Coturnix japonica: one gene and its partners. The main gene of each other region encodes a partner of the protein of the gene in region 3 in a complex. Links are inferred from orthologs where the notes say so. Each region holds a gene or a part of one and is shown on either strand. Other genes may lie near its edges. The genes, in order: guanine nucleotide-binding protein G(i) subunit alpha-1, NMU and NMUR2.

The links.
Region 1: the proteins of NMUR2 (region 3) and guanine nucleotide-binding protein G(i) subunit alpha-1 are in contact, whole or in part, in a cryo-EM structure (PDB 7XK8), measured with the Homo sapiens proteins. The link is inferred for Coturnix japonica from reciprocal best matches to the Homo sapiens genes NMUR2 and GNAI1. Residues at the interface, in NP_064552.3 of Homo sapiens: Thr78, Thr80, Glu143, Arg144, Ala147, Ile148, Pro151, Phe152, Ala154, Leu156, Met239, Leu243, Gln259, Cys262, Arg263, Val266, Leu330, Ser331, Arg333; in NP_002060.4 of Homo sapiens: Glu28, Ala31, Arg32, Leu194, Ile343, Ile344, Lys345, Asn347, Leu348, Lys349, Asp350, Cys351, Gly352, Leu353, Phe354.
Region 2: the proteins of NMUR2 (region 3) and NMU are in contact, whole or in part, in a cryo-EM structure (PDB 7XK8), measured with the Homo sapiens proteins. The link is inferred for Coturnix japonica from reciprocal best matches to the Homo sapiens genes NMUR2 and NMU. Residues at the interface, in NP_064552.3 of Homo sapiens: Ser42, His43, Gly98, Glu102, Glu105, Met106, Trp107, Arg108, Asn109, Tyr110, Pro111, Thr123, Phe126, Glu127, Asn181, His185, Pro199, Ser201, Thr203, Cys204, Val206, Tyr213, Phe284, Arg288, Phe291, Glu295, Trp297, Ser298, Glu299, Ala302; in NP_006672.1 of Homo sapiens: Glu146, Phe152, Ala153, Ser154, Gln155, Gly158, Tyr159, Phe160, Leu161, Phe162, Arg163, Pro164, Arg165, Asn166.

What each region holds. Positions count from the first base shown.
Region 1 is NC_029516.1:10,219,450-10,223,018, forward strand, and holds part of guanine nucleotide-binding protein G(i) subunit alpha-1, read right to left. Parts: intron 3,302-3,569; coding exon 3,259-3,301; intron 3,182-3,258; coding exon 3,040-3,181; intron 1,110-3,039; coding exon 952-1,109; intron 1-951. UniProt on the Homo sapiens protein: Guanine nucleotide-binding proteins (G proteins) function as transducers downstream of G protein-coupled receptors (GPCRs) in numerous signaling cascades.
Region 2 is NC_029519.1:58,656,298-58,660,664, forward strand, and holds the start of NMU (neuromedin-U), read left to right. Parts: upstream 1-1,556; 5' UTR 1,557-1,561; coding exon 1,562-1,781; intron 1,782-3,378; coding exon 3,379-3,437; intron 3,438-4,367.
Region 3 is NC_029528.1:5,368,995-5,373,037, forward strand, and holds the start of NMUR2 (neuromedin-U receptor 2), read right to left. Parts: upstream 2,857-4,043; 5' UTR 2,699-2,856; coding exon 1,982-2,698; intron 1-1,981. UniProt on the Homo sapiens protein: Receptor for the neuromedin-U and neuromedin-S neuropeptides.

The DNA of each region.
Region 1 (3,569 bases), on a different chromosome or scaffold from region 3:
AATTTTACTATGAAACTGGAGGCAAAGTTATCTAAAACAACGAAACAAAAAAGCAGAGTTTACTAGAGGAAGAGGGATCCTTCTAAATGAAGAGCTCTGTACAGAGGGAAGTTTATATACTTGTGCTATTATTGTTTAAGTCAAGAGATTTGTCACTGTGAGCTCATCTCAACAAGACCAACAAACAAAGTAATGATCATGCTCGAAATGTGTTATTTATTAAGAGTGTCTTTCATTACATAACTTCATCTGTAGTTATCTCACTGTACTTTAAGTTGTTTAGGATAACAACTGTCACACCTGTCTACCATCTTACTTTGTCCTTATCTGACTCTTTCTTAACAAACTTACCCTTACTTACTGTTGTCATACTCTATTCATCATACCTTGGATTCCTAACTTTTTTCCTATTATCATTTTTCAAAGTACCCTAACACAAAAAAATACAGCTTGGTTGTTATGTTTACTCTGTATGTCTAATAAATACTGTAGGTTAACAAAGAAAATGTGGCAATTTGAATTCTACTGGAGAATTATGTAGAAGAAATTTGACATGAACATGAAATTGAGTCCTTGTAATACAGATTCACATCAATTAGTCATGTTTCCTGGACATGTCCTGATACTGAACGGGTAACCGAGTCACAATTTTGTAATAAAAATGCTACAAAAAATACTAAAGTATCTCAAAGTATTTTTTTTTCTTCAAAATAAATCTAGCAACTGATCAGAATGTGACTTAAACTCATAGTTATACACCACATCTCTTTTTCTCTGTTCTCAAAGGCTGCGTTTTGCATTCTGATCCAAGTATACAATATCTTTGGCTAGATATTTCTAGGTTTTCCATCTACGTGGGAGGAGAATTACTTAAAAATTTACAGTTCTCTTAAATTTTTTATCTACTGCATAGAAAACAAAAGAGAGCCTTGTATGTCACACAGTACTTACTAGGCAGCAGAGTCATTAAGCTGGTATTCTCTAGATCTGTTGAAACAAGCTTGTACTCCACTGTCTTTCCACAGTCTTTTGATAACACCAGCAAGCTCTGCAGTCATAAATCCTTCCTCTGCTGCTCCAGCTAACACAAAGAGTTGACGAGCATCATCCTTTAGGATGTAAACAAAAAGTGGAGAGAGAAACATTGAGGAATACAACAAAGGTTATACTAAATTCCCCATCACCTAAGAATAAAAACTACATTCAGCAAGAGTTACTCCACTTGGTATACATGACTATAACTAAACAAAAAATGTGAAGGAAAGCAATTAGTACCCTATGTTAGATATTACTTCCCACTCTTTTCAACAAGAGAAAAAGATGAGTTCAGTAATTTCGCAACAGCTGATAAAAATTCTGATCAGTTTATTATTTGAACTAAGCTTCTATGAACAGAAATATTTTATACACTTTGTGCTGAAGTCTACATTAACTTTATTTTATTGTTGTATCCTTCAGACAGAACAGAACAGTTACAATGCATATTAGAATTAGAATGCTAATCCCAGGACAGACCGTTTCTGAAGTTCCTGTTATAACTTGTGCTCTCCTGATTCAGTAGTTTCATGAAAGAAAATATTCAACTTGTTACTTTGCCATTATTCTGACAAGGGAGAACAGGCAATTTTCCAAACAAATTTATTTTTTTCAGAGTAAAATCTCCAAAAATTCAATTCAAAAAACAAAGGAAGAGCCTGAATAACAGCCTTCCTCAGGACACTGCAATTTTGCGTATTTTTTCTTCTGTAGAAATGCTAATAAAATCAAATAAAAATTAAAGGCCTATATTTAGTACAATGAAGAACATCCCATAGACTTTCTAAAAAGGCAGACTTGCATCCCAAAAACATTCCTTTTTCAGTTTTTCATTTTGAAATTACTTCAAGACTAATACTTATTTTCAATAGCAATTTTTCTTTGTAAAAAGAATTTAGATCACCAAGACCTGCTTAAGTGCTACGGAATATCCCCAACAGAGTTTGCATTCAGGTATATAGCTCTCTGAAGTTGAAAAATTCCTTATCATACATGATGAAAATGAAAAATTCGTATAATACATAAAATAATTTCACAATCTTCTTGTCAGTCCTTTTATCTGATAAAATCTACACTTACTCTCTACTCCATTTTCTTTCACTTCGTATTTAGTAACAAAAATATACAATCCACCTTTCTTCCAACATTAACTGTCAGAGATCAAGGAGGACTTCACTGTACAAATGAACTAATATGCACTCACATACTGATCCTACCCTGAAAATCTCTGGTCTCATATCTACATTTCATAAACGGCATCTACCCTCCTGATCTGACAGGGACACAATCAGGTTCACCACATATAAGTATACAGCATTAGGAACTGTAAAGTGATAAGCAAAAAGTTCTGCAGACTGGCTCCAATAAGTGGATGAAAAGAGATGAAAAATGTACAAGAAGAAGGGCAAGAAATGGGCAACTGTTTTCTTGGGAAAAATCCTTAATCCAGTGCTATCATCGAAAAAAAAGGAGTACAAGCAGCAGCACTATGCCTGTAGAGTACAGTAAAGTAATTCACACTATTAGTCAGTATGATGCTGGATCTGGCCTACAGGTGAGAATGTTTTAGGCACTACTGTGTCTGTGACTCAATTGAGAAGTGTTGAGAAGTGCAGAGAACAGCTAGATGCCTACCTGTTTAATCTGTGTTTTTTAAGGAAAGCAATGATCACCTTGAAGGACTTACAGCAGCCCATTAAGTAAAAATTAAGAAGTACAACTACAAAGCTTACTATTTTTCAAAAAATCCCTCAGACTGGGATTTACATAGAATTTGGAGGTCTGTACATAAACAAAATAGTTGTGATGAATCAACCTAGAGTTAACTGATCAGTAGAGCACTTCACCATGTAGAAAACTAAATGACATTTCTTTTTTATCAAACCTTCTAGCCTACAAGGACTGTTGGATATGAAGAGATTTTTTCAGGAAATAACAGTGGATAGAAACTGAAACAGAATGGATATTTCAGCTGTATATGCGCACGTTTACGTCAATACTCACAGCCCTGGTTGGATCACCAAAGTCTATCTTCAATCTCCCCATTGCTCTAATGATAGCAATAATTGACTGAATGGTGTTACTGTAGACAACAGCTTTGTACTGTTTACATTCTTCTTCTGAATAACCAGCTTCGTGGATAATCCTACGGAAGGAAAAAAAAAATAAATTCTCTATTCAAATAAAAGAAGCCTCTCTATGATTGTATTTTACTATACTTACTTCATTTGTTTGACAATTGTGCTTTTCCCTGATTCACCAGCTCCTGAAAAATAAATGGAAATTCATTACATTTTTGCGCATCTTTGAGAACACATTTAATTCCTGTTTCTACACTTCAAATACCTAGCCAATACAAAAAACTTCAACTGTTCCAAACACATTACAAATTATTTTTAACATAAAACCTAAATGCCTCTTGCTAAGCTTCAAAATTGAGATATTTTGACAAGAAATCATTCAACTCTGGAAAATCTTTGTTCTTCTTTTTGTGCATGAGAGCATTAAACTTCATACAGCTTAATAGTGTTTAT
Region 2 (4,367 bases), on a different chromosome or scaffold from region 3:
GTCTCCAAGGATGGGGCATCCACCACCTCCTTGGGCAGAGTTCCAGTGCCTCACCGCCCTTACTGAAAAAGCTTTTTCCTTATATCCAATCTAAATCTCTCCCTCTTTTCATCTGAAACCATTTCCCCTTGCCCTGTCACAAAAGACAGTTTTAATGTTTTCATGCAAGTGGATTCAGCAAAATAGTTCGATGTGCAACGTTAAAACAGATATCACATAAATTCAACCATGCGACCTCTGTGCATTTCTGAAGTCTTCCATCTGAGAAGATACCATTTTTGTGCTGTGCATAAAATGTTATTTGCACCTCAAGGCAGGATAAGAACATTGACTGGGATTAAACTTTCAAATTTATAAAATACTGTCCTTTATTTTCCCATGCAATCTTTTGAACAGTTTAATTAGAAGGTATTAATTAGCAAAATGCACAACAGATTAAATCCCTCCAAAGGCCAAAGCTCAGGGTGCTAATTTATGTATTTGGATTAAGATAGATGAGGGAGTTACCTTTCAGCTCTAATGACTACCAGTTTATGATGATGCCTTCTAAATAAATATCTGTTTTTATTAAGAGAAACCAGAACCAAATGCAGTTCCTTGTTTTGGATTAAAACACCTCTTTTAACTGGGTAGATGTGAATACAATAACAAATACAAAATACAGGCTTTTTAAATTTCTCTTCTGATCCAATAAATAGTATTTCCATCAACACAAGGATTAATTCTGTCTCCACTCACATCAAGAAAAGCTTTGCTATTGAACATGATATAGAAGATCTTCCTATGACAGATACACTGCGCAGCCGGCACCAGCCCAGCACCCTGCTGTGCTTCTTGTGTGCTGGTGGTGCTGCATTGAGTTTTGAATCCTCAGATGGGCTGTACCACCATATCGCTGTGTTCTGCCTCCTGGTGTGGCAGTTCAGGTGTGTGTGCACCTTCCCTGCTGTCATAGGGCTCACCCAGTGTCAAGATAAGAAGCTGATTTCCGCTATGATCGCAAAGTTGGGGCTGTGCAGAGCTTCCTCTGCTGTCATTCTGGGGATTAAATGCAACAGTGCTGCTCCTTCCAGTAAATTCTCTTTCCTTATTAGAAAGAATTGCAGTTCTGCCCTAGAATTGCAATTCTGCCCATGGTGTAGATGGGGAAGCAGAGTCAGCCACAAACACACCTGGCGGCTTCTTTATCACCTGGCTTCATCCTCCTCTCGATTAGAGCTCTCCAGCTGTCAGGTGGGGTTCCAGTTTTAGCATCAGGCAATGCCCGAATCTCACCTCCACCCCCCCTAGTTCGCCTCCACCCCCTCCATCCGCGGCAAGGGGCAGCCGGCCACAGCTGGGGTTGTTCTTTTAAAGCGAAGAGTTTTTTTCCCCGAGGGGTGAGGTGAAGAAGCAAAGACCGTCCGGTTTCCGTCCCGAAGCCGAGCGGGGCCACGCACAGCCGCAGGGGGCCGGGAGCGGGGCTGAGTCACCGGCGGAGCAGAGGGGGTCTGCCCCGGGCGGGGGAGGGAGGCCGGCGGGGCGGGCAGGGCGGCTGACGTGCGCTCCGTGAGTCAGGGTGATGCTCGTCCACGTGTCAGGGAGATTTAAAAAGTTTGTGCAGGGAGCGGGGCACGGACAGCGTTGTGCAGAGCAGGGCACGGCGGCTATGGCACAGCTCTGCCAGCAGCAGCTCCCTGCGGCCATCCCCCCGCGAGGCCCGGGCAGCGGCGGGGGGGTGCCGGGTTCCCCGCTTCTCTTGCTTCTCTTCCTCCTCGCCTCCTCCGTGCGTGTCTGCAAAGGTGAGGAGCATCTTCCCGCAGCCCCATCACCGCAAATCTGGGGGGCGGAGGGGTTACCCCGGCGTCCCCGCGAAACCCAAAGCCTCGCAGCGCTCCGTCGGGCTGCGACGGGGGAGCGGGGTGGGATCCGTGCGGGGGTTGCGGAGGTGCCGAGGCCAGGGCCAGGATGGGGCTCGTCCCTGGACAAGGGTTGGGGTGAGGAGAGGGGCTCCTCCACCTGCCCTGGGGATAACTCTGTCCCGGCCAAACTGCGCTCTGGTAAAGGGGGAAAACGGCTGTAGATCAAACCGATGTGATCGTAGTGGGGATGGACGAAGTTGATCAGCTACTTAAACAGGGAGACCGGTTATCTGTAGTGTCATTGAGAGTGCTGTGTTACACCTGGAAGCCGCTATTTTTATATGAGGGAGCACTCTAAAGTGAGAGCAGCTGATGGGCATTGCAACAAAACACAGTGCCTTGCCCTGCCCGTCCTGCTGTCCCATTCTACGTGCATGAAGTGCTTACACCTTGTGAAGCACTTTACATCACCTGTCGCCGTGCACCGAGCAATTAGTTCTGTTTGCCTGTATTGGGGATGAGCGAGTCACTTTCATCAGGAGCTTTTGTGCTGGGTATTTGTAACGCACCGCATACTGTGTTAGAAATGAATTCTGGAGATGGGGGAGAGAGGAAGGAGGGAAAAGGAGGGTGAGGAAAGGCAGCGACACATCACACTGTGCTCACAGAGATGACTGAAATCGTGCACCTGACACTTGCGAAAGCCCCTGTGTAGGTCCAGCAGTGTTCAGGGTGATGGAGGGATGCTGCTTTGCACTGCTGAGACTGCACCTGCCATCAGAGTTCTGTGAGTGAGCTGAGGAGGGTTAAGGAAACCTATAGGGTAGTGAATCATGGTGCACTCATGGCTACCAAGGCACCAGTCCCAGGCAACGCTCCAAAGTGAACACTCTGAATTAAGAACAGAATACAATGACAGTGAGAACTGTAGCACACTTAATTTATTTGGAGCTGTTCCTTGAACTAAAGCACGCATCAAAAAAGCACAGTTTTCATTGAAAGGCAGTTTTACTGCCATGTAAACCTTGCAGAGATTTCAGAAATAAGCAGTTTCTACGCAGGATGAAGTTAAGACTCCCCTCTATCACTGTTCATGCTGATCTCAAGCCTGTGTCAATACCAAAAGGAGCTTTTGCAACATATCTATTATGCCTGGAAGTTATTCCTGTTGCTATTTGTGCTACTTGGAGATGCCGGGTTCACATCCTGCTCACCTGGCTATTCTCATTAAGACTACCTTCATCCTTTTCTTTGTTTAATTTGGCACAATTATTTGGGGAGAGACAAAAAGCACCAGAGGTAACTATAGACTTTATGGGAGGCTGTAAAATCTCTGCTTACCAGTGACCGGTAAAAACAGAGCATGAACTGGCTGGGTATGGTCACAGACAGCAACCTTGGGCACAGGGATAAACTGGATGACTCCTGGCAAACCTTACCATGCCGAGAGCAGACACGCTTGGGACACGCTGCTTTTAGGATACTCACAAGAATGACCCCTGCTACGCAGTGTTGCTATCGTTGTTTGTGCTTCCAGGTGTTCCGATGCCATCCCAAGCGTTGGAGGCAGAGCAGGAACTGCAGCTGTGGAAGGAGGTGAGCTCTGCGGGCAGGCTGGCTTTGCCAACTGCAGAAAGGCCGTGGCTCTAGGGTGAGGGCTGGGAGCATCCTTGCCAGCTTATCCCTGGTAGGTCAGGGATACAAGTTGAATGCTATTTCTTATTCCAGTCTTTGTTGTGGTCACGCCTTCCCTCTCCATGCTTTCTCTCATATGAAGTTCAGGTGCTTCCAATCCTACTTCTCCCACGTACCTGTTCTGACATTGGTGAAGATGTGAAGCACCTAATTTTCCAGATTTCCGAACAGTATCCAGAGATTTGGTGCTGAGATTTCATGTGGGGAACAGACTGCTTTGGCTCAGCAGAGAGCTCTGTTTGGTGACAGTGATCCTCTAGCTGTCATTGACCAGGAGGTCACTGTTCTTGGAAGCAGCACAGTGTCCCGATCGATACTTTTATAGTTGGTGTATGATAGGCACTGACTGTTTCAGCTCATTCAATCAGTCTCTGGCTTCTTCTGTTCTGCAGACAGGGCTGGGACACAGTATTCAGTCACATCTTAGCATCTTAATTCACAAAGTAGAGGATAACACCCCATTGCAGTTTGCCTTTCTAACATTTTTTACTAACCACAACTATACTTTTAATTCTCATCTCTGAAATTTATTCCATGATGTTACTTGTGTGTTGGCATGAGCTCTTTTGTACCCATTTGGAGCAGATGGAGAATCAGAGCATAACATAGATAGAGGGTTCAGCTTGCAAGTTGTGTGCCCTGCCATTGCTGTAACTTTTCAAGTGTTCTGTTGATATTTAATTTTGTAGCTTCTGATAACATTACAAAGCAAGTGACTCACCCCGGGTACAGCTGCACAGTGTAAATTTCTTCCTTACTGTCAATGCATTTTACAAGTATTGACTCAACCACTGTCATGTTCTTAGCCCGGCACTTGAACAAGTCCTGGTG
Region 3 (4,043 bases):
TTTCCCCTTTGTAGATGCCTCAGGTAGGTGGGCAAACAGGTCTCTGGACTCTCTGCACTCTTCATTGAATGTCAAAAATCCACACTACCTCAAGTACTAGAACTTGACTTTTATGTTGTAGTGTTAAACCAGAAAGTTGTAAAATTAAACCCATGTTGATCATGAGGTGGTGGTGATGAAGTAATCAACCTGAAGTCTCAGTTGGTCATGTGAGAAGGACAGATAAACATATATATTTATGTTTAAAAGTAATGAAACTAAGAATTAAGTCAATGACCACATGACAGGGTACCCTTTCACAACTGCCTGATGTGTCACACGTGCTTCCTTCTCTGTTTTGTCCTGAGGCACAAACTCTGGAGCTCTGTCAAAGCTTGAAGGAGAAACTATATGAAAAAGATGCTCTTCCACAAAGTCAGCTAGAAGTGATGCCTCTGCCTGCTGAAATGGAGATGTTTGCTGAATTGCAGATGTTGTTCAGGTTAACTCCGAGCTTTTCCACTGCTATCTGTGAGCAATGCATGGCACTCAGGAGATTCTGCAGTGTCGCTGAAGCTTGAAGGTTTTCATCAGCTGTGAGTAGTGAAAAAAAGTCTTCTCTTGGAAATTACACATGCACACCATTTCCCTATCATTTCTGTCGAACATAAAAATGAAACCTTTGCCCAGCACAGCTTGGAATGCAACGCAGACAAACCGGGGGCACGTGTTGTTAAAATCTGGAAGTAACAATTGGATACACAGAAAAGCTAAGGCATATACAATAAATATTGCAGCCCTTAGGAAAGACAGCTTGAACAAGTCTATCAATAAACAGATATCCCTGGGGAGCAAGCCCTTGTTTGGCACCTGGCTTCTCTTCTAGGATGAGGATTAGGAACTGTGAAACTATGCAAAGATTCCACAGCAGCCACTGAACTGCAGTTGCTTCAAAGATCTTCTGAGTGTGCAGACTGCTGGTAGATAATCCCTTTAGCTTTTCCAGGGTAGGGAAAAATTTCTTTTCTCTAGTTCCAGAGAGCAGTAAATACCAGCCATAACAATAAAAAGATGTATGAGCTGGCACAGATTTTGTTGATTTTCTTGCACGTTGTTTGGTAAGTTAATCAGTCTTTACAAGCGTGTTGCATCCCTTTCTTTCTCTGTGATCAAACACAGCATTTTAAACTCTAAATTATATCCAGTGCAGTGAGATAGGATTCATATTTCTGAAATGTATGTAACATAAGAGAAGAAAAAACCCACAGATTCTTTATGATTAGTAACACTGGGCTGTACAGGTTAATAATGCTGTGATGCTGACTTGTTTTCTCCTTCTATTTAAATAATGGCAATTGGCAAAACTAGTCTCATTTTCTGAAGAGATCCCAAATGTGAGCTCTAAGGTAGCCTTAATCAGTGGTGAAATTGTACTACAGTTATCCAAAGAGAAGACTGCTGAAATTGCTAGCTGCAGCAGCAAGGGAGCATTTCAGTTTGTGACAGCTTTGTGAGTTTTAACAACTGAATATTAACATCCTCTCCAGGGAAGGAAAAAAATAGAGGTGTAATGGAAATTCCACAGTTACAAGAAGAGAGAAAACAAATCATACACAGGATTCTATCACCAGCCCACTCCTTTTCATTCTTTCCACATTTTCCTTCTGTTTTATTTCCTTCTAGTCCCTATCACAGAGGTGTAAATCTCTGAGAGGTTGGAATCATCAGTCTACACAATGGGATGTTTAAATGACATTCAAATGTGAGAAGCAATAGGTTCTCTTTTAAAAAAGGTTGGGGTGTATTATTTCAAAGCATTGCTGTATTCTTTTGAGCACAGGATTACAGCAAAGAAGGGGTGTTTCCGGGGGGGCTTCAAACAGATAATATTTATAAATATATATATTTTTGGCAAGACGGATGGGCAAGAAAATGTTGAAGTCACAGACACAAACACACAAGAATGAGTTACAGAAACACTGAGCACTTGAGCAGGACTTACTCTTAGCCCCATCAGATAGTACAGCACACTTATGACCCCCATAGGCAGCACATAGAAGAGGAAGGAAGTAATCTGGACAATCCAGTTGTAGATCCACATGGGCGCAACCACAGTGCAGGTGGCAGAGCCAGGGACCATGGTGCCATTGGGGAAATATTGCAGCATGATACCATGGGTGCCCATGTTGGGGAGGGCAAATAGGACGGAGAGGACCCAAAGCACCACGATGGTCCTCAGGGCACGCTTGCGAGTGCTTTCCAGCTTGGCACGGAAGGGATGGAGGATGGCAAAGTATCTCTCCACGCTGACTGTGGTCACGCTGAGGATGGAGGCAAAGCACACCGTTTCAAAGAGAGCTGTCTTGAAATAGCAGCCAATGGGACCGAACAAGAAGGGGTAGTTGCTCCACATCTCGTAGACTTCCAGTGGCATCCCAAAAAGTAGTACAAGCAGGTCTGACACGGCGAGGCTGAAGAGGTAATAGTTGGTTGGGGTCTTCATGTTCCGGTGCTTAAGGATCACCAGGCAAACTAGGAAGTTACCAATCACCCCAACAACAAAGATCACAGAGTACACCAGAGCCATGGGCAAGAACAGATGGCTGCGTTTGGGCCCACATAGGAAGGCTAAATAATCCTCAGTGCTGTTTAAGTACCTCCTGAAATGTTCCTGCAGAACAAGGTGGTTAAACCAGGAGGAATTGCTGATCCAGGCCATTATTGGACCTGCTGAAATGTCCCACAGCTGAAATCCAGCCTTCTGTAAGTCCCTCTGTGCTAGTTCACTCACTTTTTGCAGGGAGATAGAGAGAGGAGTTGCCTTGCCAGACCTAGATGCACAAAGCCACGGAGAGATGAGTGTTTGCCTGGCTTCGGTTGAGGGTTTGCTGTTGTAACAGCTGCTCCCCTGTGAGGAGTCCCTAAGCCAGAAAGCCCCTCCTTTCACACATATTCATTGGCTCACTAAGTGCATTAGATTATAGAGTAAGAAAAGAGGTTCTGGCTACTTGTATTAGCTCCTGTAGCAGATACATTTACAGAATGAGAGATGTGGGATTCAGAGAGATGGGAATGTGAAATATAGGGTGAGAAACTTGCCGTGAGATGCTTGTGTTTGTCAGGTGGTGGGGAACCAGACACAAAAAAAAACTGTGTTGCTGCTCTCCACCAGCAAAGAAAGAAAATCCAGCATGATTTTATCTTTCATATCTCTGCTGATTTTTATTCTCTGTTTGCTGCAGCAGTAAGTACTTGGAAATAGAGTGTGATTGGCAGAAAGTCGTCCTGTCTTTGTAGTCATTCCTGTGGAATAGGTATCTATACAGCTTCAGCCTCTTTTTAAGGAGTATATATATACATATATATATATTTCTCCTGAAATCTGACACAGGGTTTTTATGGCTCTTCTTATATCACACTATTTTTACATCTTTTATCAGGGAGCATTGTGTCAAAGTGCACATGCAATTTGCACTGGGGGGTTGGAAAAAGGGCTGAGAAGAGATCAGAGAATGATGGAATTTGATCTCATTTGGGGATCATATCTTTCTGAAGATCATATTACTCCAAAGATGAATTTAGTGCCTCTAGATCTGAATTTACATGAATTCTCATAGATTTCTTCTTCTCAAATGAAAACTATTCTACAAATGTACTTTCTGACCTACAAGGGTGATGACTGTGTCACAGTAGAGTATTTAACTCCTGACTAATTCCTGATCCCTCGTTGAGGTGATGGCCTCAAGATGCACCAAGGGAGGTTCAGGTTGGATATTAGGAAACATTTCTTCTCAGAAAGAGCAGTGATGCAGTGGCACAGCTGCCCAGGGAGCTGGGGGTTCAGTGTCCCTGGAGGTGTTTGAGAACTATGAAGATGTGGCACTGAGGGACATGGTTATGGGCTGGGGTTGGACTTTGAGATCTCAGGGGTCTTTTCCATCCTTAATGATTCTGTGACAGAAGGCATCACAGTTAAGTGTCTTATTGCATTCTAACATCTTCTCTGACCTACTCTTTCCTACTTTAACTTCTGAATTAGCAGTAGTCCAATAACCTTGGAATTT